4 linked regions of the Astyanax mexicanus genome follow. Each later gene encodes a partner of the first gene's protein in a complex. Links are inferred from orthologs where the notes say so. Each region holds a gene or a part of one and is shown in the gene's direction. Other genes may lie near its edges. The genes, in order: transformation/transcription domain-associated protein, anp32e, kat2a and ing3.

Region 1 (7,776 bases):
TTTCCCAGGTGTCCCTTGTCTGTGCCTGTGTATAAATACCCCATGTGCTCGTTTGTTCTCTGTCATGCTATTTGTTTGATCTGGTTGTGTACTGTGCTGCTGTATTGTGTGATTTCTGTCAGTTTGAGCCTCAGTCCTACTGTGTAAGTTTCTGGTTTGGTTTCTTTAGTTTGTATTTTATTCATTTTTGCTTCTTTGTTTGGTAAAAACTTGTTGGTGCTTTGTTAGTTTTAAAATCTTTGTTCTTTTTAGTCTCAGTCAGAGTTTTTGTTTTGTAATTGCCACTACTATTGCACAACAAGTGCTTAACTTCTCTACAGGTCACATATTTTGAGCTATAAACACCAAATCTGGCACAGTTACAGAACTAATAGGGTAGTTCTATGCTTCATGTATATTAAGAGCTAAACAGGAACTTCTTAGCAAACGTTAACCTAGTAACAAACTGGCAACACCCTAGCAAGCAACACAGACACAACTGCCATTGAGCTGCAATTTATACATACATTTTCTTGGGGAAATGCACTCTCATTCTTTTTTTGGTGGTTCCCGGGTATTTATCTAGTTTGTGCTGAAATGTACTAATTGTGTTTATATTGCAGCATGATTGGAGATGCCAGTGTTATTTTTACCTGCCTCATAAAATGCATACAATCCTACATTTTTCATTTCTTTAAATAAAAATATTCACTATTAATGATTGTCTCTTTTTTTTTTCTCATGTCTTGACTAAATGTTGAATTGCTTCTTCTGAAGTCAAGGGTATTAAATGGTTCATGCAAAAAATAATGCTCTATAATGCTATATTCAGGTAGTCAGCTGACCTCATTTGTTCAGCACATACTGTTACTGAACGTAGACCTGACCAAGTGCAGCAACCCCACATCATTTGCTACCTTTTCAGCGCACACCTGGCATTAGGATTTATGGTAATAGGTTCATGTTTATCTTTTCCAGAGATTTCTATTCCATTGCCAATACTATTCTACAGAAATTAGAGAAAGTGTGTGAATTTGTACTCAATTGGTGTAGCTTTAAATAAGTAGCTGAATAATGCATTCATTAGAATGCACACATTTGCGCATAGTGTATCTAAAACCCAAGATGTGGGTCATAGAGCCTGTTTTTTCTGAAAAATACATCAGCATTTTCATTTCCAAGCGGTCGTTGAGGCACAAATCCAATTTCCGGTGGCATTCTCGTTTTACTCTGCTAAACAAGGAGTCAAAGATGAGGGCCAGTGGTCAACAAGAGACCGCAAGTAGCCTCAAACCGCCCACATTTCATCTGCACTCCCGCTGCTGGATATGAATCTGTCATACTAAAGTATTTGAAGTTTCATTCGCTGGAGGGACAGGATGTCATCTCTGCTTTAATGTTTCCACAGCTGAACAGTGAGGCCATTGAAATGATAATGCAACCTTTTCACCATCTGGATCATTTATTGTGCTCCAGCAGGGTTACTGTGATTGTGCTCAGACAGATGGCAAAGGTGGCAAATGGCTTGTCCGCCATCATTAAGCAGAGATGTAGGCTTGTGCAGAGGAAAATCATATCATTGGCATATTCTTCCTTCCCATAACTTATTAAATGATGATTATTCATCAATAATATTAGTTTCTTGTGTTGTTCATGTATACATCTTCTGGAGTGCGATATAACTGAATGTTGAACTTTTCTACAGACAGAGACTAACACAAATTTAGGTGGTACATTAATAGAACCCAGTGGAAAAGGATTGCAGTAGCAGCCTGCGCAGCTCTGATGAATTCCCTGCCCAAGGGAGTTAAGGCAGTGCTGGAAAATAATGGTGGCCACACAAAATAGACACTTTGGGCACAATTTGGCCCTTTTCACTTGTATATACTCACTTTGGTTGGCAGCAGTTTAGATATTAATGGCTGTGTTTTGAGTTATTTTGTGAGCACAGCAAATATACAGTGTTACTTGCTGTACACTGACTACTTTACATTGTATTAAAGTGTCATATCTTCATGTGAAACAGAAAAAAAATATATATATATATATTTTATGTGTTTAGAAGCTTTAGGGTGAGTCTACTCATTGAGTAAATCAATTATTTAAAGCAGTTTAAGCTCACGCAGTCATATCACACGCTGACCTTGAGTACACAGCTTATCACACACGAAGGAGGGTGTGTGACTGAAAATTGAAAAATACACTGAACAACTATAGAAGACACTTTGAATGAGACATTTTATTTCTCTCCACCATTAATCACGGTTTAGCACCTGCGAGTGATTGAACACACATTCATCAGAGACTCACAACTTTTGTGCCCATCAACAGTTTATTTTTTCTTCCTCACTGTTAGTTCTTGATATTTAATAGAATACATTGTGTTCAACTCTGTCTATAAACTTGATTATCCCCTTTTTGCTACAACCTTGTATAGCAATGAATTACACAGTTTCACTGCTATACATTTGCCTTAGATACAACTAATGCAATTAAAGAAGTTAATTCTTGAAAAACATTAAACTTTTGTATTTAAAAAAAACTGCACAATAAGACAAAGTAGTGCAAAATAAAAACTTTAAAAATAATGACTTTAAAGTGCTGCCTGTGTTTAAAATACTGTATATGTAAATAGTTTCAAAACAGTCACGTGAAATATATTCTTGCCTTTCCCCATAGCTCTTCTATTGGTCGTTGACATTGTTCACGTCACTATTTGCGTGAGCCAAGTCCCAAGACTTGCGATAATATTAAACACGGTTGATTAATCAGGCGAACCCGACTGATTAAACTTCCAACCACCTTAGGATAGAGATGACGCCACCGCAACTCGACCGCAACTTTTCTCTAGCCAGACTCTCCAGATTTTTTCCCGACTTTGGAAATTTGTCTGCGACTGTGAAAACGTTTAAAAATAGTTAGGTGTAAGACCGGCATTAGTCTGTGGGAGGCAGTGGTAGCCAAATTAAGAAGGATAAACACTTTAGAAACTTTAGAGTAAACAGATAAAGTGCCTGTATTGTGACGGCATCCCTAGGGATAGGGGCGTGGCCACCGTGACAGGGCAGTCAGAAAACCCACAGATACACGGACACAGGGAGTGAATGAACTCAAAACGTACCTTTATTTAGGTTCAAATGCCTAGTGATGGGTCTGACGACCCTGAAACCTCGACACATGCGCCGAGCTGTCAAGGCGAAACCCCGTGTCGGTGCGCGTATCAAGTTAAGGAAAACCACGTGACCGATACACTTCCTGTATCGTTTGGTAGCGATGGGTCTGACGACACTGAAACTTCAGCGCATGCACCGAGCAAACAAGGCGAACCCCTGTGTCAGACCGCGTATCATTTTAAGGAAAACCACGTGACCGATGCATTTCTTCGCGCAGTTGCTTGCAATGACTTTCTTAGTCCAGCAGATGTCGCCATTAAGTGATACAGCAACACAGTTTCAACACAGTGTCGATACAGTTTGGGAAATGTGCCATACACCCAATGAGGCTTCATCTGCCCATCACTACAAATGCCCTCCACTAACACCCAAAACAACTCAAAACATAACTACACTGGCCCAGAGGGGCTCTACTCGCTGAACTTGTGATTGCCAGTCTTTTAAGGGTCTATCCTGCCGCAGCCTTCCTCTCACCTGTAGCACCTCTCAGAGTGGGGACTGAATCCGAGTCTTTATGCCGGAGTTCCAGCTGCTGCTCAATCAGTCCTGATTCAGATCAGCTGGGACCGGCAGGGACTGCGCGTCATGGCGTGGGACGGACCCACTGCTCCCCCCGCCCGTCACAGTATGTAAAACCGCAATAAAACTGTAATTCGAATTAACCGAATTAATTGTGAAAATCACCCATCACTAGTTCATATCCAGAGGCGTTTTACATCAAATCATCAAATCAAATTTATTTGTATAGCACATTTTATAACTGATGTGCTCACAAAGCAGCTTTCTGCATTTATTTTTTTATTCATTTATAAATAAATACATAAAGGTATTAATTTATTTATTTGTGCATTTATTTATTTATATTTGTCATTTTGCCATTCCCCCTATAATTTCTTCACATTGACGCCCAACAACGCAGCGACCTCAAATGGCCGTTTATTGTACTTACAACCCCAACCAGCCAGCCTAAATGCAGAATGTTGACTACTATATAAAGCCCCATATAAAGAAGCATAATATAACAAATATGATAGAAGCTGCTCATTATAGCTGTGTGGTGTATTTAAAAAAAATGAATAAGTAGAGTCCAGTATTTAAAACAGAATTAATTGCGTGCGTAAATTAAAATTCTCTTTATACTGCAAAATGTTTAGTTACCTTTTTAAAGGAATAGCGGTCTAAGTGTTAAAAGTCAGGTTTTGCATTTTTAGAAATCAAAATAGGGATGAAATGGAAACATTAAAATAGCTTAAAAACATAATTTGTAAGCTCTTAATACATGGGAAAACGAAAGAAAAGAAAGACCTTCGTTTTCGATGGTCTTCTGACTACTACCAAATTTGCAGTGTCCTTCCGCGCAGGACTATACCGCTGTACTGTAAAAAACGACAAAACAATAGAAGAGCGCACAATTAGATCCTACATAATGTGTTTATTAGTAAGAAGTTAACATAGCTATATCACATATCATGCTTGTTGTTTTTAAATGCAAGAAATATATGATTATAATTAGTAAACAGATTATCATAGCTTGGCGCGGTGTTGCTTAGATCCCTCCGCCGGGTTTGAGTCGGTGCGAGCTGAAGCAGAGCTAGAACTCCTTCCCTCTTTTTCCATCTGCTGTAAGTCTTTAATGCGCGTATTGCGTTTTATTCGCTTTATTTGGGGGGATTTTGTGTTTATATGATACGCAGGTGTGTGTGAGTGGCTGAAGCCGAGATGTGCGCTGGCTTTGGGATACTGGTGGAGGTTAAATACTGCTAGTTGTGTTGGTGGGAAGGACATGACTGTAGTAACGGTGTTCTGTCGAGTTGTGCTACTTTGTCAAATCGTGCTACCCTAGCGTATTTACCTGTAAAAATACAAAAGGAGTGGAAGTCCCAGTAGATGTAGCTAGTATATTTGGATAGCATGAATCACTGTATCATGGTAAAGATACGGCAATGGGAGGTTATTAATTACATTTTGATTTTGTATTTACATTTTTAATAATAATAATTGTATTTGTTATTATTATTATTATTATTATTATTATTATTATTATTATTAAACATTTACATTTATACTTTGTGCAATGAGTCAGTCCGAGCTATTTAATACACAAATAACAGATTTATTATCAACGACAACAACAACAAAAAAATTAAATAGTCGGTCAGCGCATGCGCAGTGCATTTAGGAAGCACGTATCGATGGGTAGCGTAACTCGACAGAACACCCGGCTGTCTGTGCAGCAGGCTGGTACGCGTTTAGAGTGTGTTTACTAAGGGATTGCGGATTCAAAACTGAGATATAAAGGTTGGAATGATGGGGGTGTGAAAGTCTGTAAACTCTAATATATATTCTATTGAGTTCTGTTATAAGTTCGTGTATTAAATATAAGATATCCTGGCTTTTGTTTCACTGCACTAATCTCTAGCTTAGCTTAGCCTGGCTTTAACCGCAGTGATGTCATCTGCGCGCGTCGGACTGCAGTAGGCGTGCATCTGTAGTAACGTTAGCTTAGCTTAGCCTAGCCTAGCTTAGCATAGCACTGTCTGCGATTTGGCGCGCCGGCTGCGCTGGAAAACTGCAGATAAAGTTGCTGTAAGTGCGCAGACGGATATCCAGCCGGCGTCTTCAGTGGCGGTTGTGTGTAAGTTTGTGAAAAGAGGTGAATTTGCTGTATTAGCTAAATTATCCTGTGTTTATTATTATTATAAGCTCCAGTGCTCTGCAGTGTGTAGTTAGCTAGCTAGCATAGCATAGCTAGCTTAGGGTCCTACCGTGCTGTTTTCGACAACGCCTTCTTTATGCTGATAGTTCGCCGCATATAACCTTATTTTTGGCTGCATATAGAAGCTACACTGGTTATACATATCTGTGTGTGTAATTTAATCGTTTAAAGTTTTTTAAGCTAAATATTTGTGTTTACTTTTCAGCACACAGCTTAAATATTATTATAGTCAGCTAGCTGAAGGTGCAGGGAAACCTATTGATGCATAAGCTAGGCGTACTGCAGTTGTTTACCCCACAGAATGTTTAACCCACAGTTCACATCCCATAATTCTGTCATATGGAATATTATAATATGTTTTTGCTGAATGTAAGATCTTAATTTATAGTAAAACTGTATTTTATTATCTTGATATACAGCTCTGGAAAAAAAATATGAGACCAGTTTTTCAATCAGTTTCTCTGATTTAGCTATTTATAGGTATATGTTTGAGTAAAATTAACATTGTTGTTTTATTCTATTAACTACAAACAACATTTCTCCCAAATTCCAAATTAAATATTGTCTTGGAGAGAATTGGTTTGCAGAAAATGAGAAGTGGCTGAAATAACAAAAAGGATGCAGAGCTTTCAGACCTCAAATAATGCAAAGAAAACATGTTCATATTCATAACGTTTTAATCGTTAGATATTATCAATTTTTAGTGTAACAACCCTGTTTTTTAATCACAGTTTTCATGCATGTTCAGGCATTTTCTCCTTCACCAGTTTTACACACTGCTTTTGGATAAGTTTATGCCACTCCTGGTGCAAAAATTCAAGCATTTCAGCTTGGTTTTATGATTTTTTGTCATCCAGCTACCTCTTGATTATATTCCAGAGGTTTAATTTGGTAAAATCATAGAAACTCATCATTTATCATTTATAAGTGGTCTCGTATTTTTTTTTCCAGAGCTGTATACATTGTTGTTTGATGGTTTTGGCTGTAGTGGTAAGTTTCTATCTTGTAAGCTCCCTAGACCTACAGACCTTTCTAATGAACACTTATAACTTATAACTAATGAACAATTATAACATTAACTACAATACGAAGAACGTTTGTGTAAAGGGTTTGTAAGTTAGTGCTGTTCACTTAAGTCTGCACGTTTTATTTTTAATTTACTGAGACAACAAACATACCATGTGCTCTGCCTACACTATTACTCCATGATTTATACCTTATAAACACAGCACTAAAGGTAAGGATATTTGTTTGGTAGATAATTTCTCTGTTGTAACAGTGTTTCTTGGTGAGAAATCTAATATTGTTGTAAAGCCTGTTCATTTCCCTTTTAAAGTAAGCCACATTTGTAAGGAACATGCATTTGTGGGATTAGATATGTAAAGAGATATATAGATAGATACTTTATTGAAGTATCTATTACTTTATTGGACAGTCTTATGGCCTGAGCAACAAAAGACTTTCGAAGTCTGTCTGTGGATAGGACTGGGTACTCCTCTCTGCCAGTGGTGTTAAGGACTCCAGCTCTAATCCACCACAAAACATCTTGTGTGCAGCAGAGTTGAATATGTGGGTTGTACCCATATAAAATTAGCCAAATATTCTCTGCCATAGCCAAACAGTTTACTCTGCTGTTGCTATTGACACTTTTTAGCTTCTGGTACCTCCAGGTGCAGCACCTGTGAAAATGGTCCCCGCTACACTGGTCAGTAGGTGTCATGCCACATTTGACTGGTCTGGATAAGGCAACTTTAGGCTGGTGTTCTGAAAAAAACAAGTTGCAACATTATTTGGAGTAAGCCTCAGTACCATCTCCAAACTGAAGGCCAAGTTCCATATAATGGGGGATGGAGGCAAGCCCCAAGGAGATATCGTATTTTTCAGACTAGAAGGCACACCGGATTATAA
Region 2 (7,558 bases), on another chromosome or scaffold:
GACACCCATTCTAATAAATGGATTTGACTTCTTTCGCAAACTGCACAGATGAGCTGACACAGATGAGCAAATGCACAGACATAGCTTATATAGCTCCTTACTGACGGTTCACTTGCTGCAAAATATATCCCAGCATTACATGTGATACTGTAATATGTCTGTTGTTTTATAATATTCTGGCTTATTAGTGGATATGCTTTACTTATTGTTCTAAACAACTGACATATTGAATTTACATGAATTATGTACATCAAATTGTTGAACGTGAATGTATGTAAGGTCACTAGTTTGGCAAGAACTGTGTTTATGGTTCATTATGTAACCCTTTCTAAACACCCTATAACCACCCTATAAATTCTTGTCACATTTAAGTTATATAAATTCAAATTCACTATAAATTATATGTCTAAATGTTTGTGGACACCCATAGCAGCATATTATTATGTTGCACCTATTGCCAAAAAAAAAAAAAGATGAGCAAATCCGAACACGCACACACAGCTTGTCTAGGCCCTGTAATGCAATATTCCAATAGAATAGGACTATCTGGGGCAGGTAAACATAAAGCTATTGGCACCCTGCCTAATGGTCAGTGTGGGCTAGATGCCCCCCTGTACTAAGCTGTGGAACAGTGGATAATTGTGTTGTCTTAAATGATGGAGCTACATCCAATATTTTAAGATTATTTAAAAGAGTTAGGGATAAAATGAGTTGGTGGTCATACAACATCCTAATCTTACTAATATTCAAGTAGTTTTATTTTCATTACTGCACATGAGCAGGGCATACAGAGGATTGAAATTATGTTACAACAAGTACAGCAAGATGAAAATATAAATATATTTTTATATTTTGCTGGTTAAAAAGTTAACTATATTAACTTGTCATTTTGTTTGTGTTGGACACTCCTGAGATGGTTTTATAATGCAGCCTTTAACCACACGTATGCACAAGTTAGCGCACGCAGACATAGCAGGGGGTACCTGTTATGTATACATCATAAATACATGAATACAGCATTTATTCATGCTGTTGAATACAATCAAATCCTAAAACCAATACTCCATAATCTAATAGAAAGCATTTTCTTGTACAGCATTCAGTATTGTGGCATAATCTTTTCCGTCTGATAAATTGTGTTATTGATCACATAGAACACAAATATCAGTCCCAAGGCAATTCCATATCATTGCTGGTGAAGCGGGGGTAGTGGTTAGAGCAGTAGGTTATGGATGATAGGGTTGTGGGTCAGATCTCCGGGCTCAGCAAGCTGCCACTTTGGGCAGTAGTAATGGGTACCCCATGCTATGTCCATGTGCACTCACTAGTGTGTATGTGTGTTTTTTGTCCAACACGAACGAATGACAAGTTAATATGGTTGTTTTTTTTGAAGAAGCATTTACATGCACAACATTCTGAATTTGCTTTTGAACATGTTATTGTTCAGTTGAAGTTATTGTGTTACTATGAATTTGTACTGAGTCACCCAATTAATGCTCCACAGTTTCCATCCTCTGTCTGCTGAAGTATTTCCTGTTTCCTGTCTGTGGAGTGCCTTCAGCCCTCGCTCCCACCTTTCACCCGAAGGCCCTTAGAGAAGCCTCTCAATGAGATATCCGTCTGTTTACAAATACACTACAGGCAAAGCACAGGACACAAATACTCTATACAATACATAGCTACACAAAACTTCTGGCATAGCTTATTGCACTGTACTGTACTATACTTTCCGGTAGTGTTACAAAAATAACACTTTTTTTTTTTTTTACTTTTTTCAGCCAAAACTATGATGTACATAGTCTTGTGAAATTTATTTTTTCCTTTTCCGTGTTGTTCTGTAATAGCTAATGCTGGAAATACATATTTATTTACCTGTTTTAGTTGTAGAGCTGTGATACGGCTGCAAATGTGTCAGCTGAAGGAAGGCAGCATAGTACTGGCTTCACTGCATTGGTGATAACATACCAGGTGTTTCATGGGAATGGGTTGTAATGCATTGCACTGAGGTCCTCTAGTCAAGGAAAACACAAAGGTGACTGTGCCTTTGCAGCATGCTCTCCAAATTATTGGAATATCCTGCCCTTATACTAGACTTTCTTAGTCTAACTCTAAGTAGTTGTTTAGGAAGACATTTTTATTGGTATTATTATGAATTTCTTTTTTCACACATTTTCTATGGATCTTTTGTTCTAAAGCATTTATATTCTCATTTTGCAAGACTGTAAAACTGTTACATTTTCTGACTTTATTTTTTCAAATGTATGTACAATTGGTAAAGACTTGGCCTATAAATAAGTTGGAATTGAGACAAATAGAAAGCAAATGGAGTTTGGTTTAACCATTAGTAGACAGACTGCAAGGTAAAGAAGATTATTTGCTTCCTTTCACAATGAGGCATAAATCAGCTTAGGAAATCTGTCATGGTATCCATTCAACGCCAGGGTCAACGAGGTGCATCCTCTAGCGGTCACCTTGGATATTACAGCACTGGGCATATTTACCAGCAACATGCCATGATCATTTTGTATTCAGACTCATTTGAAGGGGGAAGTACAAGTTTGGATGCTGACAGTGAGAATGTTTTTTTGGAATAAGGCATATTTAGGAAACCCAAATGCACTTCAGAGTGACTGTATTGTGACTGAGGTGTGACTCATAGTTTTCATTCATGAACACTCCACTCACTCTTATTTTCCATTGAAGAATGAAGTGCACCGCTCTTTAAAAAGAGGCTGGGGAGCGCTCTGCGGCCGAGCATGCTTCCTGACATGCTGAAAGGCTGAGCGTAAGGACTTTGGCCGGTTTGAGCTGTGTAGTTAAGCGGTCAGCAGCACATTACATGGGACAGATGGCATGATGGCTTGCGGCCTCTAAGCCCCCATGGCTGCCATGGTTTATGGTCAGCCATTTTATTTAATAGTTAAGCGGGGGTGGGGGGTGGGTAGTAGAGCCTAAGAGTTGGTTGGGAAGCATTACTGGGAAGACTGCTGAAGTTGGTCTTTTTAGCCTGTTTTTTTTTTTTTTGTACTTTCACAGACATTCTTATTCATTTTAAATTGTATTTTATGACTTAATTTTCAGTCACAGCAGCAAAGCAGTGAAAAGAGAATAGAAGTATCCATAAAAACAATAGAAAATAGAAAAATTAAAAATAAGTCGACAAGCATTTTAATATAATATTGAAGCACAGAGTTGTAATACAAAATATCATATGTATTACAAGTATTGCATGTTAATATTTTTTAAGTTGGATTTTTAGTAGTTAACGTGTTGTATATAGTGATATACAGTGTGTGTGTGTGGTCTACATGGAGCTTTTTTTTAAAGCTGTAAAAAGTTCCCCACAGCACTCTTTCCTTCAAGTTCCTAAGTGACTGAACATCGCACAGTGTTATTCACAGAGTAAACTAACCCAGACTGCTGGGTTAGTGCTGGAGATAAAAGTTGCTGTTCCAACCAGAGAAACCGTTTAAATGCTCAAATAAAATGTATTGTGATCCATATAACTAGTTTTGACCTGACATCTAGAAGATTTTTTTTTTCTTAAAAATAAGTTTATTGAATAAACTTAAACTTAAAATAAGTTATGAAATTGTTGTTGATGTCATTTACATGACATCAGGGTTTTAACCTTAAAATACAATTTTAATTGCATTCTTATTTGGTATTAATATTCAGAAGTTGGTCTGGGTTTTTATGGGTTAATCTAAATCAACTTTCATATACACCAACTTCTAATCAATATATATATTTTTTATATTTTTTAGTGGCGTAAACATGTTTTTGTTCATCTGAGTTTATTAACAGAATGTAGGAGTGCTGAGTGAGCTTCTCCTTTTAAAAGTGTATTTTCTTCTATTTCCACAGCTCTGTCCCATCCACTTAAACAATTCTGTGTTTTCATTAAAAGTTTTATATTCTATAAAACTAGTTCTGACAGAAATTCTAAAACAAAAAGTTAAAATAAAAGTCATGAAGTTGTTGTTGTCATTAGTGGTACAACAGGATTTAAAAATTGTGTTAATTTTTTTATTTGGGATTAATATTCAGAAATGGGTCTCAGGTATTATGGGTTAATCTAAATTAACTATTATTAATACTAGCTATTAATATCAATATATGAACGTATGTTTATTAGTGGAGTAAATATATATAGATGTATATATATAAGGCTCTGGGCAGCGCTGTAAGGCGCCAATGAGAACAAAGAATGGGCGGATTCCTAGTTTGAAAGCTTCGTACTGACATTTACATCAACCCATCTTATTTTACTGCGCGCGCAATTCCAGCCAATCCCGTGCGCCGGCAAAGACCGATTATGTTGATCAGGGTGATCCGCTTGAGTGGCATGCGCGTCCACCAATCAGGCGCTGAAAAACAACAGCGGGCCAATGGCGGCGCGGCGGAGGCGGGGCTTGGGAAAGGGGGTTGGGTGCGAGGTATCATGGAGGATCAGTTAGAGAACGGTAGACGTTGAAGAAAGCCGAGCTGTGGGTGCGCGCTCTGGAGTTTCTTACACTTTATTTCCTAAACGATCTTGTCCGGTAGAGTATCTTCTGAAACGATGGAGATGAAGAAGAGGATCAGTTTAGAGCTGAGGAACAGAACTCCCGCGGAGGTAAGCCAGCCAGCGAACACATCGGACTTTTAATTATTTATTTTTGGCGAGAAATGGGAAAGGATGTTCGCTCGCAACCTGTCTTACCCTGCAGACTCGAGCACTGAGCTGCTGCTGCTGCTGCTGCTGGACTGCAGTTAGTTAGGGTAGCGAGCTGAGAGACCACTTGGGCGCTTCAAGAAGGATGCGAGGGAGAGGGATTGATTAGACTAGACTAGCAAATATAGAGAAATAGAGAGTTTAATAAACGAGACTTCTAGCCGAATAGCTACAACGTGTTTGGAGTAGCTAGGTTAGCGGACTACCCATCCCCACTAATGTAATCTAGCGTTAGCTAGCTTAGTTTAACCAACGTTACGTTAATTTACGAACTGTAACGAACTAGAGAGACCAACAAAAACAAACTCCGTGGAGTCTTTTATGAGTGAATCGTAACCTAGTTAACGCTAGCTAACTAAACATAACCCTACAGCACTTCTCCACCTCTTCCACTACTACTACTACAGTCTGTCCCCTTCGCCATTCACCATTGCTTTACATTGTGGTCGTGGTCCGTGTGTAGCTCCGTGTTTTTGGTTAGTTAAACTACCTAAGAAACTTTTAGCTAAATGTTGGTTAATAGTTAGTTAAAATGGTGATACGTATTGTTTGCATACTAAATACAAATGTTCATCGTGAACATTTCTTCGCTTTATTTCTTAGCAAACCTAACGTTAGGTCGCCTACTTCAAGTAACGTTACACTAACTATAACTTACACTGTGCTGAGAGATAAGGCACTAGCCTAGTGTAGTGTAATTGGGTAGCTATCCGCTTGGGGTTTTAACCGTCGTTTCAGCTATCCTGTTTAATTACTAACCTAGGTTATAGCGTATAGCTCCGTATGGGTTTAACTAACTAGTTTATAAGTTACGTTAGTTAACGTTAGCTAGCTAGCTATAACGTCTGTTCCTGCACTATTTTAACGTTACTTTCAACGATTAATCTTCTACTGCTCGCAACGACGCGGATGCAGACTTTAGTAGTTATGATGGCTTCTCAAACCTAGCAAACTCCAGGTTAGCTAGCTTTTTGTAGCTGGATTTAACGTAAGTTAACATAGCTATCTAGTAAGCAAGAGAATTTATTTTATTTAGTAGTCGAGTCTTCTATTTTATTGAGCTAAAATGCTAACAGCTAGTTAGCTAACCAATAACAACACAGCTAAACGTTTAACGTTATATCTCGCAAAACTAGGAGGACCGTCATATTTTGGCATCGTCAGGTCAAAACGTAACTAAGTTAACTATTGTTCCCTAGATTTTAATCACTAGCCCTACACTGCCTTCCAAGTGAGAGTGTGTGTGGACAGCACTCAAAGCAGCACAGCGTGTCTTGCTTTTCAGATATAACAGCTACAGCCATTACAGTGAGCAGTTTCGTCTCCCGAGGCGGACATCTTAACGCCGCTCCCCAACTCGACGACAATTCGACATTGTAGTTATAAGCCAAGATTTCCAAGCTGTTAACTAACTTAAATAGATGGTTCGTTAGTTATTCCTCGAGAAAGCCCCTTTAGTTATAAAGCTAGCTAGTTATATAGTTAGTTAACTTAGCTATGCGCAGGCGGATCGCCATTTTAGCTTAACAGTCTGTTTCAGACCACACAGCTGTTCTTGCGGATTGTGTCGGCGGTATTAATCGACAAAGCGCGGTCTACAGCTCGTTTGAGAGGGGTGTGTGTGTATGTATGTGTGTGTGTTGAGAGGGAGGGAGCTGAGATAGGGGAGAGAGAGAGCGGACGGGGAGTGTCGCTGCGCTGACTAGGACTCATTTTGTTTGTTGCGTCGGTTGTTTAACGAATATAATCGTTCCTCCGCGTGTTTAAAGTCGTTTTTAGCGCTTCAGTAAACTAAAAGACTATCAAAACAACTCGGTTACAGTCGTGTGTTGTCGCTACCTCCGGTGCTTTACGCAGCTCAGCCGAGCTGCTGCTGTTTCTGTTATGGAGTCCCGAAAAGAACACGGTGCCATTTTCCTCCCTGCTCACATAACCATGGCGCGGTTATGTAACTAGCACGCTTCAGATAGATGTATAACTACATAACGCGGCCTGTTAGACAAGATACTTTTTTTAACTGATATTTTTCATTAGACGCTCCGCGGAGTCTGCTATAACCTAGGTTAGTTAGATTAGGTTAGCTACTTGAAGGATCGTGGCAGATGGTGAGGGTGCGCAAGCCCCCCACCCCCACGCCTAATGTAACCCAGCTAGCCCAGTAGATTATAACTGTGGCCTGGCTCAGACTGCTGCCATCTCCCACAGCCCTGCCTGCCATGAATAGAGACGTTGGCCACATAACCTAAACTAGCTACTACTTCTTTTTCTTTATTTATTATTCAGGTAGACAGCAAACCTAGCCACTACATTAGTTACGCATCCCAACATTGTGAACACACTTAAACAACGAGGTGATATAGGAAAAAAAACATAGTAATGCGAAATATATGCTAGATGACAAGACTCGCAATACATTAAGAGTGGCAGAGCTTCTTTAGTACAATAATACAACATAATTTATAAAATTATCATACATTTTTAGTTTTATTATTATTTAGTTTACCACAGTTAGTTCCAACCCTGCAATGTGGAGGGCTGAAAGGCGTTTTATGAGTGCCATTATCTGCCAGTAATGCACTGTAACCGAAGCTCCATGTATTACTCCGCCACATACAGGTAACCTAGCAACAATGCAGCGCTTACTAGCCAAACAGCACAGCTACAAACAAAGCAGCAATGGAACTATTTTAACTCGCAGAGTGTTTATAACCAAACAGATCTTATTTTCTCATCCTCTTCAATAAACACAAATAAAGGAACTGTGGTATAATCACAATAATACACTGGAGGCTATATTGTATAATATTGTCACTGCTGTGCTGATCTATGGCACTCGGCCTG
Region 3 (7,560 bases), on another chromosome or scaffold:
GCTCTAGTGTGACCTCTAGTGGTAGAAACGATCAGGTACTGAACCTTTAAGACCTGTTTCATGTTCTCTTAATTTGTGAAATACAGCATAAAAATTGTCCATTTTAAAATTGGAGTTTAATTCTGTAAAATGGAGGAAATATTAAATAAAAGTGACCTTAAGTGGAGGCAACAGCCAATACAAAAAAGTCTCTGTGGGAAATTAAAAAGGAATAAAATCAAAAAGCTGATATTTAATTTATTATTTAGAAACCTGCATTATCATACTTGCAATCGTGTTAAATTGGACATTAATTCTAGTAATTAACAAAAATATTTAATATTTGGCATAAAAATATAGGAGGATAAAGGATATCAGGATATTCCATCAGGACATTTTTTTTTCTTTGGTCAATTATTTTCTTATTTTTTCTATTATTTGCAATATTTTTGCATACAATAAAATATGCCACACCCCTAGTTCTGAACCTTTTTGTTAATTATAGAACTCATACAAAAGCCCTAATTATTTCTGCAATATAGACAGGCACAGGACTTCATGTATCTGTTTACTCACTTTTAACGCTTTTTTGTCTTCGTTTGTTTCTTTGTAGCTAAAAAGCTTCCGAAGAACGAGCCGCAGGGTGGAGCAGGACCTGGAGGACGAGCCAGAGGCGGAGTAGACTTGCAGGAGGCGGCACCTCAGGGCAGATCCGGCCAGTGCTGTGGAGGCGGAAACTAAGAAACCCAACCAATCGACGACTGTCAAATGTGGCGAGGATCAACACAAGACACACGATCGACAAAGTACCAACTCATAGTCCGACAGTTCTGTCTATTCGCAGTCAGTTAAACTGTGAAGTACATCAGCAGCCCAACAGATTCAACTTAATGAACTGACAGAAAGGGGCCATTGATATTCACAACCACTTGTAAATATTTCGACCAATTCTACCCCCGACCAATAGGCCGGCTCCTCTGTAACACCTGTGTTCAAGAATCAGTTGACTGGCTTTGCTGTGTATACCATAAAATCACACAAGCCCCGCCCCCTCCCTTATCGAAACAATGGAAAAACATGAAAAAAATAAAGACAACATGCGTTTGGGGAACAAGGAGGGAAAACAACGATCAATTCTATCGCACTTAAGCAGAGCTGTAATGTTCTGTTCTGTTCTAGTCTGTGTTCATGATAGAAAATCAGACTGCTGCTGGAGGGAAAACACACTTCTTCCACTTCTTTCATTCTCTCTGGTCTGTTTTCTGAGTTCAGCCTGATCCTCACCACCTGAACTCAGATGCTCTCTCTCCTTCTCCTTCTCTCTTTGTCTCTCTCTCTCTCTTTCTCTCTGGATAGAAGTCACCATACCCAACAAGTATTGATTATTCTGCTTTTCTGATTTCTTGGCACTTTTTCTTAAGTGGAAGAGTAGAGAACACGATAGAGAGAGAAACTAGGTTGAGAGGCTGTTTTCCCTTCACTCTCAGCAGCTTCTGTAGATTCTGTATTATTCTTGGTTATTACTATTGTTGTTATTATTGTAATTATTATTATGACTACCACTACTCCAGAGCTAATGAATAATGATTTATGATTTCATAGGTTAGCCCACCCCCACCCCTCCAAATAATTTACGTATATCAGACTGTATATGCATAACGCATTAACGGACATCCTTAACACCAGTGTCTATTTTTAGCATTAATGAAATGAGAGCGAACATTCCCGAACAGTCAACAAACGTGGCGTTAACGCACGACGAGATTTGCCTCCTCTGACCAAAATCAGTTTGTGTATTGAAAAACGTAACTGTTTGCTGTATTTGTACTCTGTATTTTTTCTTCTTTTTCCATTTTGTCTGCGAAAAGTATACCGAATCATTAGCCATTATCAATACAGTACCTTCCCACAACGGATCAATCGTCTACTCGTCTTTTCTTTCTGCCTGAAGATTTTTTTTTCTTTCTTTTTTTTCCTTCTTCTGTGAAATGATTTTTGTAATGAAGGTCCCTCTGAGTGCACTGGCTGTTTCTTGTCCTCTGTGAACCATCATTTTCTGCCCTTTTTTTTGTTTTGTTTGTTTTCTTTTTTTCTTCTTTTTGGACCAGCATTTTCTCCATTGCTTGTGAATTAGCACAACGAATGAGAGCGACTGCCCAGACACAGTTTAACAGGGTTCGGACAACTGTTTTGTGGATGGGGGACAGAAAAACAACAAATAATATCTTGTACTTGTAATTTTACCAATAAACAAGGGGAAGGTATCTTGCTCTGGGTTAGTGTGTTTATTGTTGCTCCTTTTTTTATTTCTTTTCTATTATTATGTTTATGTATCGTTATAGTTGTTTAAAAACAGCCTATTTTTGCAGTGTGTTTTTCTGTCTTTGACGTAATGTGAATCATCCAGAATGTTTTTTATATATATATATATATATATATATATATATATATATATATATATATATATATATATATATATATATTGTGTACAAATTTTATGATGCGTGAAATAATAGACATACTTCAGAATAGAGCTTGGGCAATATATTGATATTTTATGATATTGAGGATATCCTCAAATTGTTAAAGGACACTGACACAACTGTACATTTAATTACAGAAAGAGTAAAAATAAATGTTTAATTGAATGCTGTGCAGCAAAAAGAAAAATCCCACTGCATTTTGCTTTAAACATTGTTTTAAAAAGCAGAATAGCTGCATTTGCCACTGCTGATGCATTTTATCTTTGTATTAAAGCATAATTAATACATGTAGACTGAAATTAATTAATACATTTTCAGCCCTACTCCAGAATGATCAGGAATACAATCAGGAACACAGGAATCGTGTATAGCACTGTGAGAGTGTAGATGTTGGTTTGTTGGCAGTTAGGGCTGTCAAGTATAAAGAAATAGAGAAAATATCATTGACTTTTAGTTTATTATAATTTAGCAACTCTAAATGTAGTTTAGCTGATGCCTCTTTAACCAGGGATAATATCCAGATGAGACCTTGTCTTCTTGCATATCACTGTCACGCAAAAACTTTGTATGTGTACTTGAGAATGGCACAGTCTGTACTGACAATTTTCAGCTATGTTTTCTGTCCTAGTTTGATTCTGAGTATTTTTAAAGAAAAGCACAAAAGACAGAATGCTACTGAGTCATTGATTCATGAACAGTCTGAAACGCTACACTGCCTTCCAGTGGAGGAGCTCTGTGCAGCAGTGAGATCTGCAGTAGGTGTGGATTTACTGCAGTGTTTTTCCTCTCAATCATCACCATGAGTGAACCAAACCCACCCTCTAAAGCAGGAATTCCCAATCCCAGACCTAATTCCAGAGCACTAAAGTAGAAAAATCTATTTACTAATTCTAATACTAAATATTCTTCGAGTATGAATTATGTACTGTAAATAAAAGTGTCAAAGCACAATGTACTTAATGGTTGGTTGGTTTTTGACAAACTGTGGTTGCAATGAACATTATCTCACAATGCTATGCGAACTGGACAGAAAGGAGCTACCCATGCCTGCGACCCAAAGCCTAAGCTTTATCCTAGATAGATTGCTTTTCTCCATTCCCCTCTGTTCTATTTATTCTTAAATGCACAATTTGTTGCTGAGTGGCCACTATACTAGTGCATCTCAAAAATGTTAAATAAGAGTATTATATTTAAAACCAATTGGTATTTGTGTCAGTGTGCCAAGTCCTGCTGGAAAATGAAATCTGCATCTCCTTAAAAGTTGTCAGCAGAGGGAAACATGAAGTGCTGTAAGATTTTGCAGCCTATCCTTTGAAACACAGGGGAAAATGTTGAATATTGATACCATAAATGTTGCCATAAAGGCAAATGTAATACTTGTTAGCATAAAGATGAATGTTAGCATAGCATAACTTTCAGTTAGTACAAATGGGTTATTATTACATGAATATTTTATGTGTTATCCTGCCAAACCAACACTATTAAGATTAGTATGTAGTAGTAGTGCATGGTACGCAACTGGAACACAGTCTTGCTATTTGAGTTTCAGGGGGAGCAGAAAGTGTTGAAGGCCTTGCTCAGGGGCAGCTAGCTAGCTAAATAACAGTGGCAGCTAAATATCACTAAATATTCTTGATTTTTTACCTGTATATTTTGTGGCTCTCTGTAAAAGTCTCTTATTTTAATACATGTATGGTGTATTGTATCAGCTCACCTTTTATACAGTTTACTTATTGTAATTTTGTATCTTAAAAGTGTTGTTATGGTCTATATATATGGTTTACAACAGATTAAAAGAGCGAAGCCGATAGCTGGCTAGTAGTTTATGTAGTTAACTACATTACCCAGAAACCCATGCAACTGCGCATGCGCAATGTAAAGGCTGTGTCTCATGGACACAGGCGGCAGCGAGGCCTGACAAAACGTAAATAAATAAACAGAATTTGCTGTTCCAGAGCGCTTTAAGCTACCAGAACTGAACACAGCGATTCTCCGGACCGGGGCGCACCGTGCTGGTATGGCGGAACCGGCGGCACAAGCCTCCACGCAAGCCCGGCTTCAGCAGGGCCCGAGCGGGGGCTCTGCGAGCTCCGGCCCGAACACAGGCTCCGGCTCCGGGAGCAGCGACCCGGCGCGGCCCGGCCTGAGCCAGCAGCAGTGGGCGAGCCAGAAAAAAGCCCAGGTCCGCGCCTTTCCTCGGGCTAAGAAGCTGGAGAAACTCGGCGTGTTCTCGGCTTGCAAGGTATCCAGCTAAGATAGTTAACTAGCTAGCGTTACTGTAGCAAGAGCTAGGTTAACAGTGGACCTGCCGGTTTAGTGTGTGGTAGATGGGAACCTCATAATCTAACCACAACAACGTCTAGCTTAGGTCTGAAACTGACCAGCCTGCACAGAAAGTCTTACAGCAATGGCTCTGAGCTCTGCAATACAGAAACTAGTGCATCTCAAATAATTGGATTACTTTATTTCGGTAATTCAGTTCAAAATGTGGAACTCTTATATTACTATAGATATATTACACACAGAGTGGTCTATTTTAAGTGTTTATTTCTTTTATTGTTGTTGATTATGGCTTACAGGCAATAAAAAACGAAAAATCAGAATCAGAAAATTTGAACATTATAAAAAGACCAATTGCTCCTGCTGAAAAATGAAATCCACATCTTTATGAAAGTGCTGCAAGATTTTCCGTAAATACACTGCACTGACTTTGGTTTTAATAGAACACAGTGGACCAACACCAGCAGATAACATGTCTCTCCAAACCATCACTGACCATCAGTAAATTGTGAATATCATTTGTAAATCAAGGGACCAGAATCTGCAGGAGGAGTGGAGAGGCACACAGTCCCAAGCTGCTTGAGGTCTAGTATGAAGTTTTCACAATCAGTGATGGTTTGGAGAGACATGTCATCTGCTGCTGGTCCTCCACTGTGTTTTATCAAGTCCAAACTCTTACAGCAGCACTTCGTGCTTCCCTCTGTTGAATACTTTTATGGAGATTACATGGGGATTTAATTTTCCAACAGGACAACAGGTACACTGCCAAAAGTACCAATTGGTCTTGTAGATTATTCTGATTTTCTGAGCCACTGATTTTTGTGTTTACGTTGGATGTAAGCCATAATCACAAACAATAAAAATAAGTAAACGCTTAAAATAGATCATTGTGTGTAATACATCTATATAACATATGATTTTTACATTTTGAACTGAATTATTGAAATAAAGTAACCTTATAACGATGTTGACCTAGTCTATGCACTAGTATATACTGAGTGGTCTGTCTAATAACAGTGTTTAAAGTAGTGATGTAGTGAAACATGATAATGAGTAAAGACTTTTCATGTGATCTAATTTTACCTTCCACAATATAAATCACATCAGTACCAGTACAGTACAGTACCAGCTCAAAAGCCTTAAAAGAGTTCCTGGAGTTGCTGAACAATAGTTGCTGCTTTTTCCTTTACTTTGTCAAGCTCCAGCTCATCCCAAATCACCATCTCAGTTGGGTTTATGTCAGGACAAACACTGTTCTGTTTACTCCATAATTCCCTTAATTGCATAATTAATCTACAATCCACATTGTAAAAAAATACATTCAATAAAAAATAAAGAAAAACACTGAATGTGTGTCCAAACCTTTGACTGGTACTGTATATCTTTTTCAGACATAATATATTTACGATTAATTAAGTATCATTGTTACCACTGTTTTGAAACAGGCAAATGATTCCTGTAAGTGTAATGGCTGGAAGAACCCTCATCCTCCCACGGCCACCCGGATGGAGCTTCAGCAGCAGACGGCCAACCTGAGCGAGGCGTGCCGGAGCTGTGGCCACGCCCTGGGTATGCACTACTGTATAACCCTCACTTTTGAGGACTTAAACAGTTTGATGCATTTGTGTTTGATCCAGGAGGCACATATGAAATGTGGCTTCATCCTTTGACCCATTCATGCAGTCAACACACGCACATACTAGTGAACAAACACACTCAGTTTCACACATACAGTGAGTACAAGCTCAGTAAAGGTTGAAGGCTTACTCGAGTGCCTAACAGTGGTAGCCCGGTATATCGGTATTCTAACTGCTTACCCACCACTGCCCAGATTAAAAACGTAATCTTACATCTGTTTGTTTGTGTGTCTGTGTGTGCAGCGGAGCATGTATCCCATCTGGAAAACGTGTCGGAGGAAGAAATAAACAGGTTACTGGGGATGGTGGTGGACGTAGAGAATCTGTTCATGTCTGTACATAAAGAGGAGGACACAGACACCAAGCAGGTTTACTTCTACCTGTTTAAGGTAAATACAGAATGATGTTTCATTATATTCACTATAAGGACAGAAGTTTTGGTAAAACTGCACAGTGCACTCACAGGAGCTTTTACAGCATCCTCTTCTAAATCCATAGGCATTAACATTGAACTTCAGTGTAGCTTGCCATCGGCTACCGGAGCCCTGAGAGATCACAATTGTCCTTGATCTCTCTGGGTGGGTAGATGGCGCTCTCTCCCCACATCACTCCAAAGGGTGATGTCGATCAGCACACAAGGCATCTGTGAGCTAATGTATCAGAACCGAGTCGCTGCGCTTTCCTCAAAGTGCGCTGTGATGCTACTTGGCAATGCTGCATCAGCAGCAGTTCAAAAAGAGGCGGTGACTGACTTCACATGTTTCAGAGGAGGCTTGTGATAGTCTTCACCCTTCTGGTGTGTTGGGGCATCACTAGTGATAGGGGAGTCCTAATGAGTAGGTTGGGTAATTGGCCGTGTAAATTGGGAGAAAATGGGATAAAAATGATAAAATATAAACATTAAACTTCCGGTGTCAATAGGTCTGAATAATATACCTGAATTTGATGATTATGAGGTGTTTCAGTACTTTAGTCCATATAGTGTTGGACACATTCACCCTTGCACATCTTACAACATCTTGCACAATTTAGAAAACTGTATACAGGTAATAATGTTATAATGATCACAGTCATTTTCTCTTGTAATCTATTATTAATTATATTTCATTTTAAAATCTTTTTCTTAATTTTCTGTTTTTACGGTTTAATGTGATACTGATATTTTTATTTTACTTACTTTT
Region 4 (7,950 bases), on another chromosome or scaffold:
GTGAGTAAGGAATAGTAATGCAAAGACAGAAAGAGAGTAAACAATTGGTAAAGGGGGTGAGACAATTATAGTAAACATAGAGTTACAGCATTAAAGAGAGACAGAACAACTGGGGAAGTGAGTGAGTGGGCAAGCAAGAAATAGACAGGCAGAGGTAAAGAGAGAGACAGAGAGCAACTATACAGTAAATCAACAATGTTAGTGTTAAATTTTGTTAATTACAGTTTTATTTGAACAATATCATTTAAGGAAAAGTGAGTGAAGGAATAGATGAGTGAAAAAGCAACAAATAAAGACAGAGAGAGCAAAATAGAGAGAGAGAGAACAACTGTGAAATTAAGTGACCATTAGTAAGTAAAGAGACAAGCATGAAATAGAGAATAAGAGATAAACAGAGAAAAAGAGAGAGTTAAAGAGGAGGGAGAGGAAGAGAGAGTTAGTGAGTGAGTGAGCAAACAAGAAATATAGATGCAAAGACCGAAAGAGAGCAAACAACTGGTAAAGTGAGTGAGACAGTTAAAGTGAGCATAGAGAAACAAAAAAAATAGAGAGACCGAACAACTAGTAAAGTGTGGGAGAGAGAGAAAAAAAGAAATAGCAACTACTCAGTAAATTTCAGACAAAGTTAAAATGACTAGAATAAGTGTGCATGTGAGAAAGAGAAAAACAACAAAAGTGAGTGAAAGAAAGAGTGATTAGGTGAGCAAGAAATAGAGAGGGAGAGAGAGAACAACTAGAAACATGAGTTAAAGGAGTAAATGAGAAAAAGTGAGATAAAGTTAGAATGAGAAAGAGAGAGAACAACTGGAAGACTGAGTGAGAGAATAGTTGAGTTAACGAACAAGGAATACAGACTCAGAGAGTGAGAGAGCAAGAGAAAAAGAGAGAGAACAGCTGGTAAAATGAGTGAGACAGTTAGAGTGGATGAGTGAGCATTGAGAAACAGAATGAGAGAGAGACAGAACAACTGTGAGAGTTGAGCAAGAAATAAAAAAATAGAAAGTAAGAGAGACAGCATCTACTAACAGGAGACAGGAGGGTGAGAGAACATTATACTTGGTGAGAGGATGAGTCGGTAGTGAGAGAAGTGAAAAAAGAGTGCTTGAGAAAGAGAGGAGTAAGCAAGATAGCGTGAAAATTGAAAGAGCAGAAAAATAGAGTAAAGAAATGAGAGTGTGAAAATATAGTGAGTAAAAAAGCAAAAGAATGAGTGAGTGAGCGAGAGATAATGTGAGTGGGTAAGTGACAGTGAGTAAGTGAGTGAGAAACAGAGGAGGAAGTGTAATAGAGGAATGCAGAGGGTCAGGAGGTCAAATATGTGTATTACTGTCTGCAGGGATGAGCTGAATGTGCCCCTGGGGTGAGGGAGTGAAACAGTCACTGCTGGCCTTCTTTACTAATCTAAATGTGGCATTTCCATATAAATAATCTTGTTTCTACACCCATTATCCTGCTATGGGTGTAGAAACAATGTATGCTATTTTTTCTCAGCTTTACTGAGCATAAAGAAACACACTGTAGTTCTACAATTACAGTATTTAATCATTCTATTTCTCTGCATACTTTATTATCCTCCTTTCACCCTGTTATTCAATGCTCAGGACCCCAGAGGATCACCACATAGCAGATATGGAGTTTTTGTATATATAAAGCTCTGGAAAAAAAGGCCACTTCAAAATTATGAATTTCTTTGATTTTACCAAATTAAAAACCTCTGGAATATAATCAAGAGGATCAAGAGATGGATGATCACAACCATCCAACCAAGCTGAACTGCTTAAATTCTTGCTCCAGGAGTGGCATTAAGTTATTCAAAAGCATCATGTAAGACTGGTGGTGGAGAACATGATAAAACTGTGATTAAAAACCAGGATCATTCCACCAAATATTGATTTCTTAACTCTTAAAACTTTATGAATATGAAAGATTGTTTTCTTTGCATTATATGAGGTCTGAAAGCTCTTTTTTGATATTTCAGCCATTTCTCATTTTCTGCAAATAAATGCTCTAAATGACCATTTTTGGGGGGAAAGTTGGGAGAAATGTTGTCCGTGGTTTATAGAATAATATAATAAAGTAAAGTCTTTATTTTATTAGATTAAATTCTATATTTGTTGTGTAATTATTATCTTACCATCTTCCTATATCCATTATTATACCTTAAATCTTGGTACACCACTACACTGCAGATTGGGCTTTAGTTGCTGGTGATTCTGCTGCACAAACAGTCCAGCTATAAATACACACAGAACCTCATCAGAGAATCCATGTTCTTTCTCATGAGCCATCAGGGAGTATTTCACACAGCCCAAAGTCACGACGGTCCAGTGAGAGACAGGGGTAGTGCTGGTGCGCTTGTGGCTTAAATATCTAACATTTTTCTAGCATTTCAGATTTCCTCAGAGGTCTGCTTATGACATCTCTAAGTATGTACTGATTTATATATATTATATATATATATATATATATATATATATATATATATATATATATATATATATATATATATATATATATATATATATATACTATCTCACAGAAATATGAATATCTTTGAAAAGGTACTTTATTTTAGTAATTCAGTTTTAAAATGTGAAACTCATATATTATACAGATGTATTACACACAGAGCAATCTATTTTAAGCATTTTTTTCTGTTATTGTTGATGGTTTATTGTCATGGCTTGCAGCCAATGAAAAAACAAAAATCTGTGTCTCAGAAAATTTGAATATTGAATAAGACTAATTAGTCTTCGTCTTAGTCATCTGCTGGTGTTGGTCCACTGTGCTTCCCTCTGCTGACAACTTTTATTAAGATGCTGATTTCATTTTCCAGTAGGACATGGCACAGTGCCCACACTGCTAAAAGTACCAAATGGTCTTTAAGATTTTATAATTTTCATCAACGATAAAAAATATGTGTAAAAATGATAATCTCATGCTCCCTGAACCACTCTTTCACAATTCCAGCTCCATGAATCCTGGCATTTTCGTCTTGGAATATTCACGTGCCATCAGCTAAGAAAATATCCATTGATGGAATAACCTGGTCTATATTCAGTATATTCAGGTAGTCAGCTGATCTCATTCTTTCAGCACATACTGTTGCTGAACCTAAACCTGACAAACGGCAGCAACCTTAGATCATTTGCTTAGTTAAATCCAGCTGGGGACCTTTTTTTGGCCAGGCAGTGTACCTTTCCTAAGGTTGATGATTGGGGGTGAATTTGGGATGTGGGGGTCACAACATATTTTGAACCTAAAAAGGGGTCGCACAGTAAAAAAGGTTAACACTCTGCTTTATATCATAATTTATTCTGGTCTGGTGCTACAAATACATTTATTTAAGTTACAAATGAAAGCAATTTGAGGCAAGTTGTATATATTGAATTACCAACTGTAAACCAATGTGCCTGTAAATGAAAAGTCATTCACTGCTGCCCTCTTCAGGCTGATCGTGGAAACTAACCCCTCCTTTCCATACCTGAACTCTTTCTTTACTCGGCCTTGAGATTTCTAAGGAGAGTCTGTTTAGCCTTTGTGTTATTCCCTCATATTGATCCACGACAGCGGTTTGACAGTATAAAATGTATTATTATTCTGAATAGAAGAAATACGTATTATGCTCCATACTGCAACAGTGAATACTGAAAACTAAATATGAAAAATCTGTATCATGTTCTATACTGAACCTTTTTTTACTCTGTAATACATTGAGGGTAACCCTCATTTTCAATGCAGCTGAGCATTTACGACCTAAAGTGACTGAAAAAAATACATTTAAATTACAATTAAAATCAGGTAAATCCGAAGAGCTTAAACAAGGACCTTCATAAACAAAACAATCAAAATTAAAAGGTAAAAACATTCAAAAAACAGCAAATAATAAAATATTTAGTTAAGAAGAAATAAAATAATTCAGATTAAAAGGATAAGTGGACAGGCTAAAATGTAAAGCAATAAAATAAAGAGATAAATCATTTAAATAATAAAATATTTAAAAAAAATAATATTAAATAAAACGATAAAATAAATGAAATAAAAAGCTACAAGGCCAAAAGTTAAATCCCAGCTTGCCACCAACGTCCATAGACGTTAATTTTAGGGTAAAAGTTGGTCATGAGGTCAGATTCAGAGGTCAGAAATATTACGTCAGGATAACGTCTAATACCGTTATGTGCCTGCAGGGAGGAAATCAATAAATAAAAGGACGAAATGGATAAAATAAATAAAATGGCAAAAAGCTAAAACAGAAAATGTAACACAAAAAACACAAAATAAATAAAGCAATAAATAAAACCAAAGAGTCAAGAATCGTTCACTTCACAGTTTGTGTTGTTCATCCACTAATCCTAAATTATAGCCCACATAAAGCTTTACACGGGACATAAAGACATACAAGGTGGTCATAATGTTATGCTTGTTTTGTATACAGTCCATTAACACGCTGTGCGCGTTCCTTTAATAAAAACTACAAATACCATGAGCATTTTCAGTGAAGGCGGGTGCTGCGTAAGTAAGTCACCGACCAATCCCTGTGCACGTCTACGCCGCCAGGCCCCGCCCCTCCGAAATCGCCTTTTTTTTCTTCGGCGTTCAGCGAGGCGAGGCGCCATATTGAAGAGTTCTCCGTTTTCTGCAAAACCTCGAAAAATACCCCGTTAGCCACCATGCTGTACCTGGAGGACTACCTGGAGAGTGAGTATAGGTGTTTCTGTGTTCGCTCGCTGTGGTGGCGGTGTGTTCGTGTGCTGGGGGAGGCCCGTGTCGCGGGGAAACGGCCGCGCGGTCGTTAGCCGCTAGGCTAGCTCCTAACTCCGCTTTTTCTTCTCTCCGGCAGTGATCGAGCAGCTACCCATGGATCTCCGCGACAGGTTTACGGAAATGCGAGAGATGGACCTGCAGGTTCAGAGTAAGGCACTGCATTCAGCGGTTCTCTCTCAGAGTCTGACCGCTGAGACTTCAGCCCTGCAACCACTGCACTTTACTGACCCATAAAAACACTGAAACACATTACAACTCTATTATTTCACTTTTTAAACGGGTTTTCTTCAATTTCTCAAATTATGTAGATTTTCATTTCTGCTCTTCACATGATTAATTGCAGGAGGAAATTTTGTTTTTTTTTTCATTCTCTTAACAAAATTATCAAGCTAAATTTGAAAATAGAAAATTGGGTTTAAAACTTAATTATTATTATTATTTCCATTCAGTATAGCGAAGACGAAATGGGATTCATCCAAATTATTATAATTCGTCCAAAATATAATAATTAATTATCTAGTTTTTCATTTAAGCTATTCACAGACAGAATTTCATGAAAAATGAAATTCTTTCGATTTTTAAATTTGTCAATTTTTGCATCTTGTAACACAAATCGGATGGTAAAATGCAAAAATGAAAAAAATTAGGGGAAAAAAATGAAATTTGGAAAAGTCGATGAAAAACTATATTTAAAAAAATAAATAATGAGTTTTACGTCAAATTTTCGATTTTTGCATTTAACCTAAAACGGTCATAAAAATTAAATAAATAAACATTACACTGACCATTATATCATCAGATTTTTGTTACAAGATGCAGAAATGGAAAAATTAAAAAATCAAGAGAAGATTAACTACATATTTTTTACAATTTCCCTGAAACTATTTGTGATAAATGTCAGAAACTGAAAAAAATGTATGAAATCCTTTATCAGCATTTTTCTGGTAATGGGATCAAGGGAAACATTTCAGATGATGTTTTACCACCACTTTTCTATTTCCCAATTTAGTCGTAACTTTATGTTCTAAAGTTTGACCAAAATTTGAATGTGTTTTATAATAAAGTAGTTAATTATAGATGCTGAGTGCATGGAGCAGAGAAGAAAGAACCATGAGAGCTCTAGTAACTGAAAAATTGTAAAACTTAAAAAAAAAACAAAAAAAAAACTTAAGATTCTGTGTGAAGTAATAATAATTTATGTAACATAAAAATAATGTAATATATCAACACAAAAACTATTATACATAAATATCTTCACAGAAGAAAATAAGCATCACATTAAATAGCGAAACAAATGACACTCAAACAAATAAATGTGTATAACACTGATATGACGTGTTTGTTATTCTCACATAAAAATATTGCCCTCTAAAAACAAAAGTTCTCAAATTTTAGGAAAACCACTGGAACACTCCTGTTTTATTTTTTATTTTTTATTTTTATCCAGTTGCAGGCTTGACACATAGCTGTCCACTGTTAGTACACATATCTCTTAGTTGGTCATCCACTTGCAAATAATGACCCTCTTCCTGCTTTTCAGATGCGATGGACCAGCTGGAACAGAGAGTTAATGAGTTCTTTGCCAACGCTAAAAAGAACAAACCAGAATGGAGGGAAGAGCAGATGGAGGTTATTAAGAAGGTACAGAACAAAAGATGCAATTCTCTGTGGAATCCGTGGTTGGAGCATCTGCTAAAAATAACTAATTGGTTAAAGTTGTTAAATTCTGAATCAGCCCTTAATCAGCCCTCTAAACACATCTAATTGTGATGTTTACTATTCACAGTTTTGTTTTTCCACACTTAATGAACTGTATTATTAAATTATTTTTGGCTGTTTTGCTTAGCCTGTAATAAAGTATTAATTTTGATTGCAGAAGCTGTAATTAATGCATATCTTCTCCTCTGTCTCTTTTATTCAGGATTACTATAAGGCTTTGGAAGATGCAGATGAAAAAGTTCAGCTAGCCAATCAAATCTATGATCTGGTGAGTATGGATGATTGTACCGCAGTACACTTTATGTCCACTTTATGTCCACTAGAGGCAGTCACTCATTGTGAATGTACTCTTATGTGTGGAATGAATTGGAAAGATGTTTTTGTATATGCTGTGAAAGCTTGTTATTCTGATGTCTGATGATAAACAATTCTTCATAGTTCAGTTAAGGATTGTATGATTTTGTGTGCGCTCAGGTGGATCGACACTTGAGGAAGTTGGATCAGGAGTTGGCCAAATTTAAAATGGAATTGGAGGCTGATAATGCAGGAATCACTGAGATCCTGGAGAGACGTAAGTGTAGTCTGTCTGCCAAGCTAGTTATCATATGTGAGGACATCAGCTGGGAAATGTGGATCTCTTAATTATGCAGTGCTATGTGCATAAGAATGCTTGTTTAATTTATTAGTTGTTTAAGCAGCCTTTCTTAACTTACCTTTCTTCTTTTCTGTAGGGTCGTTGGAAATGGACAGCCCTTCTCAACCTGTCAATAACCACCATGTCCACTCTCACACCACAGCAGAAAGTAAGACAGTCCTCTATCTGTGTTCACTGTATGACTGCACAGTTTATTAGCCGTGTCTAAACATGCTAAATAAAGAGTTCGTACGGTCGTGAAAACCTGGAAAAGTCAAGAAATTTGAAAATAGCAATTTCCAGACCTGGATAAGTTTTAGAAAAATAAAAACACCCAGAAAGTTTAGAAAAAGTCATGGAAGTTTGGTCTACAAATCTTTGTGTTTCAGTTTATCGATTGAGAGAATTTATTCTAAGTTAACAAATACGTCAGATCAGAGTTAATTCAGTAATTTAGCCCTAAACAATGGAGCTCTCAGGATCTGACACACATTTTATTATTAAAGATTGTGTCTCACATTTTACCTAATTAATTTTAAACCTACTATAATACATTTTAATTATAGTTTTAGTTGTTTTTTGCACTGACGTTTTAAAAATCGTATGGTCATGAAAATTTGCCTTGAAGGCATAGAGTCGTGAAAAATCATGGAAATATTTATAATTAAAGCGTAATGGAAAATAAAATGAAGTGTAAGGAATAGAAACAGCTAAACATGAACTTTTAAATGACTTTTATATGCATTTATATGTTTAAAATTGAATTGTCTTTAACTGGAATGTGCTAGCATTTATTATGTAAATATGTAATCTATTGTATTTGTGCTCATTTA

Evidence for each region.
Region 2: transformation/transcription domain-associated protein (region 1) and anp32e share a complex: the UniProt entries of both Homo sapiens proteins name them as parts of the SWR1-like complex. The link is inferred for Astyanax mexicanus from reciprocal best matches to the Homo sapiens genes TRRAP and ANP32E.
Region 3: transformation/transcription domain-associated protein (region 1) and kat2a share a complex: the UniProt entries of both Homo sapiens proteins name them as parts of the TFTC-HAT complex. The link is inferred for Astyanax mexicanus from reciprocal best matches to the Homo sapiens genes TRRAP and KAT2A.
Region 4: transformation/transcription domain-associated protein (region 1) and ing3 share a complex: the UniProt entries of both Homo sapiens proteins name them as parts of the SWR1-like complex. The link is inferred for Astyanax mexicanus from reciprocal best matches to the Homo sapiens genes TRRAP and ING3.

The regions. Positions count from the first base shown.
Region 1 is NC_064422.1:24,991,724-24,999,499, reverse strand, and holds the start of transformation/transcription domain-associated protein, read left to right. Parts: upstream 1-4,692; 5' UTR 4,693-4,774; intron 4,775-5,647; exon of another isoform or gene 5,648-5,787; intron 5,788-7,776. UniProt on the Homo sapiens protein: Adapter protein, which is found in various multiprotein chromatin complexes with histone acetyltransferase activity (HAT), which gives a specific tag for epigenetic transcription activation.
Region 2 is NC_064410.1:49,864,378-49,871,935, forward strand, and holds the start of anp32e (acidic leucine-rich nuclear phosphoprotein 32 family member E), read left to right. Parts: upstream 1-4,441; 5' UTR 4,442-4,564; coding exon 4,565-4,618; intron 4,619-7,558. UniProt on the Homo sapiens protein: Histone chaperone that specifically mediates the genome-wide removal of histone H2A.Z/H2AZ1 from the nucleosome: removes H2A.Z/H2AZ1 from its normal sites of deposition, especially from enhancer and insulator regions.
Region 3 is NC_064426.1:26,198,357-26,205,916, reverse strand, and holds the start of kat2a (histone acetyltransferase KAT2A), read left to right. Parts: upstream 1-4,336; 5' UTR 4,337-4,479; coding exon 4,480-4,704; intron 4,705-6,187; coding exon 6,188-6,311; intron 6,312-6,622; coding exon 6,623-6,768; intron 6,769-7,560. Other genes in the region: rab5c (ras-related protein Rab-5C), read left to right, coding at 593-720. UniProt on the Homo sapiens protein: Protein lysine acyltransferase that can act as a acetyltransferase, glutaryltransferase, succinyltransferase or malonyltransferase, depending on the context.
Region 4 is NC_064409.1:8,056,907-8,064,856, forward strand, and holds the start of ing3 (inhibitor of growth protein 3), read left to right. Parts: upstream 1-4,578; 5' UTR 4,579-4,670; coding exon 4,671-4,698; intron 4,699-4,840; coding exon 4,841-4,912; intron 4,913-6,304; coding exon 6,305-6,405; intron 6,406-6,685; coding exon 6,686-6,751; intron 6,752-6,957; coding exon 6,958-7,054; intron 7,055-7,214; coding exon 7,215-7,286; intron 7,287-7,950. UniProt on the Homo sapiens protein: Component of the NuA4 histone acetyltransferase (HAT) complex which is involved in transcriptional activation of select genes principally by acetylation of nucleosomal histones H4 and H2A.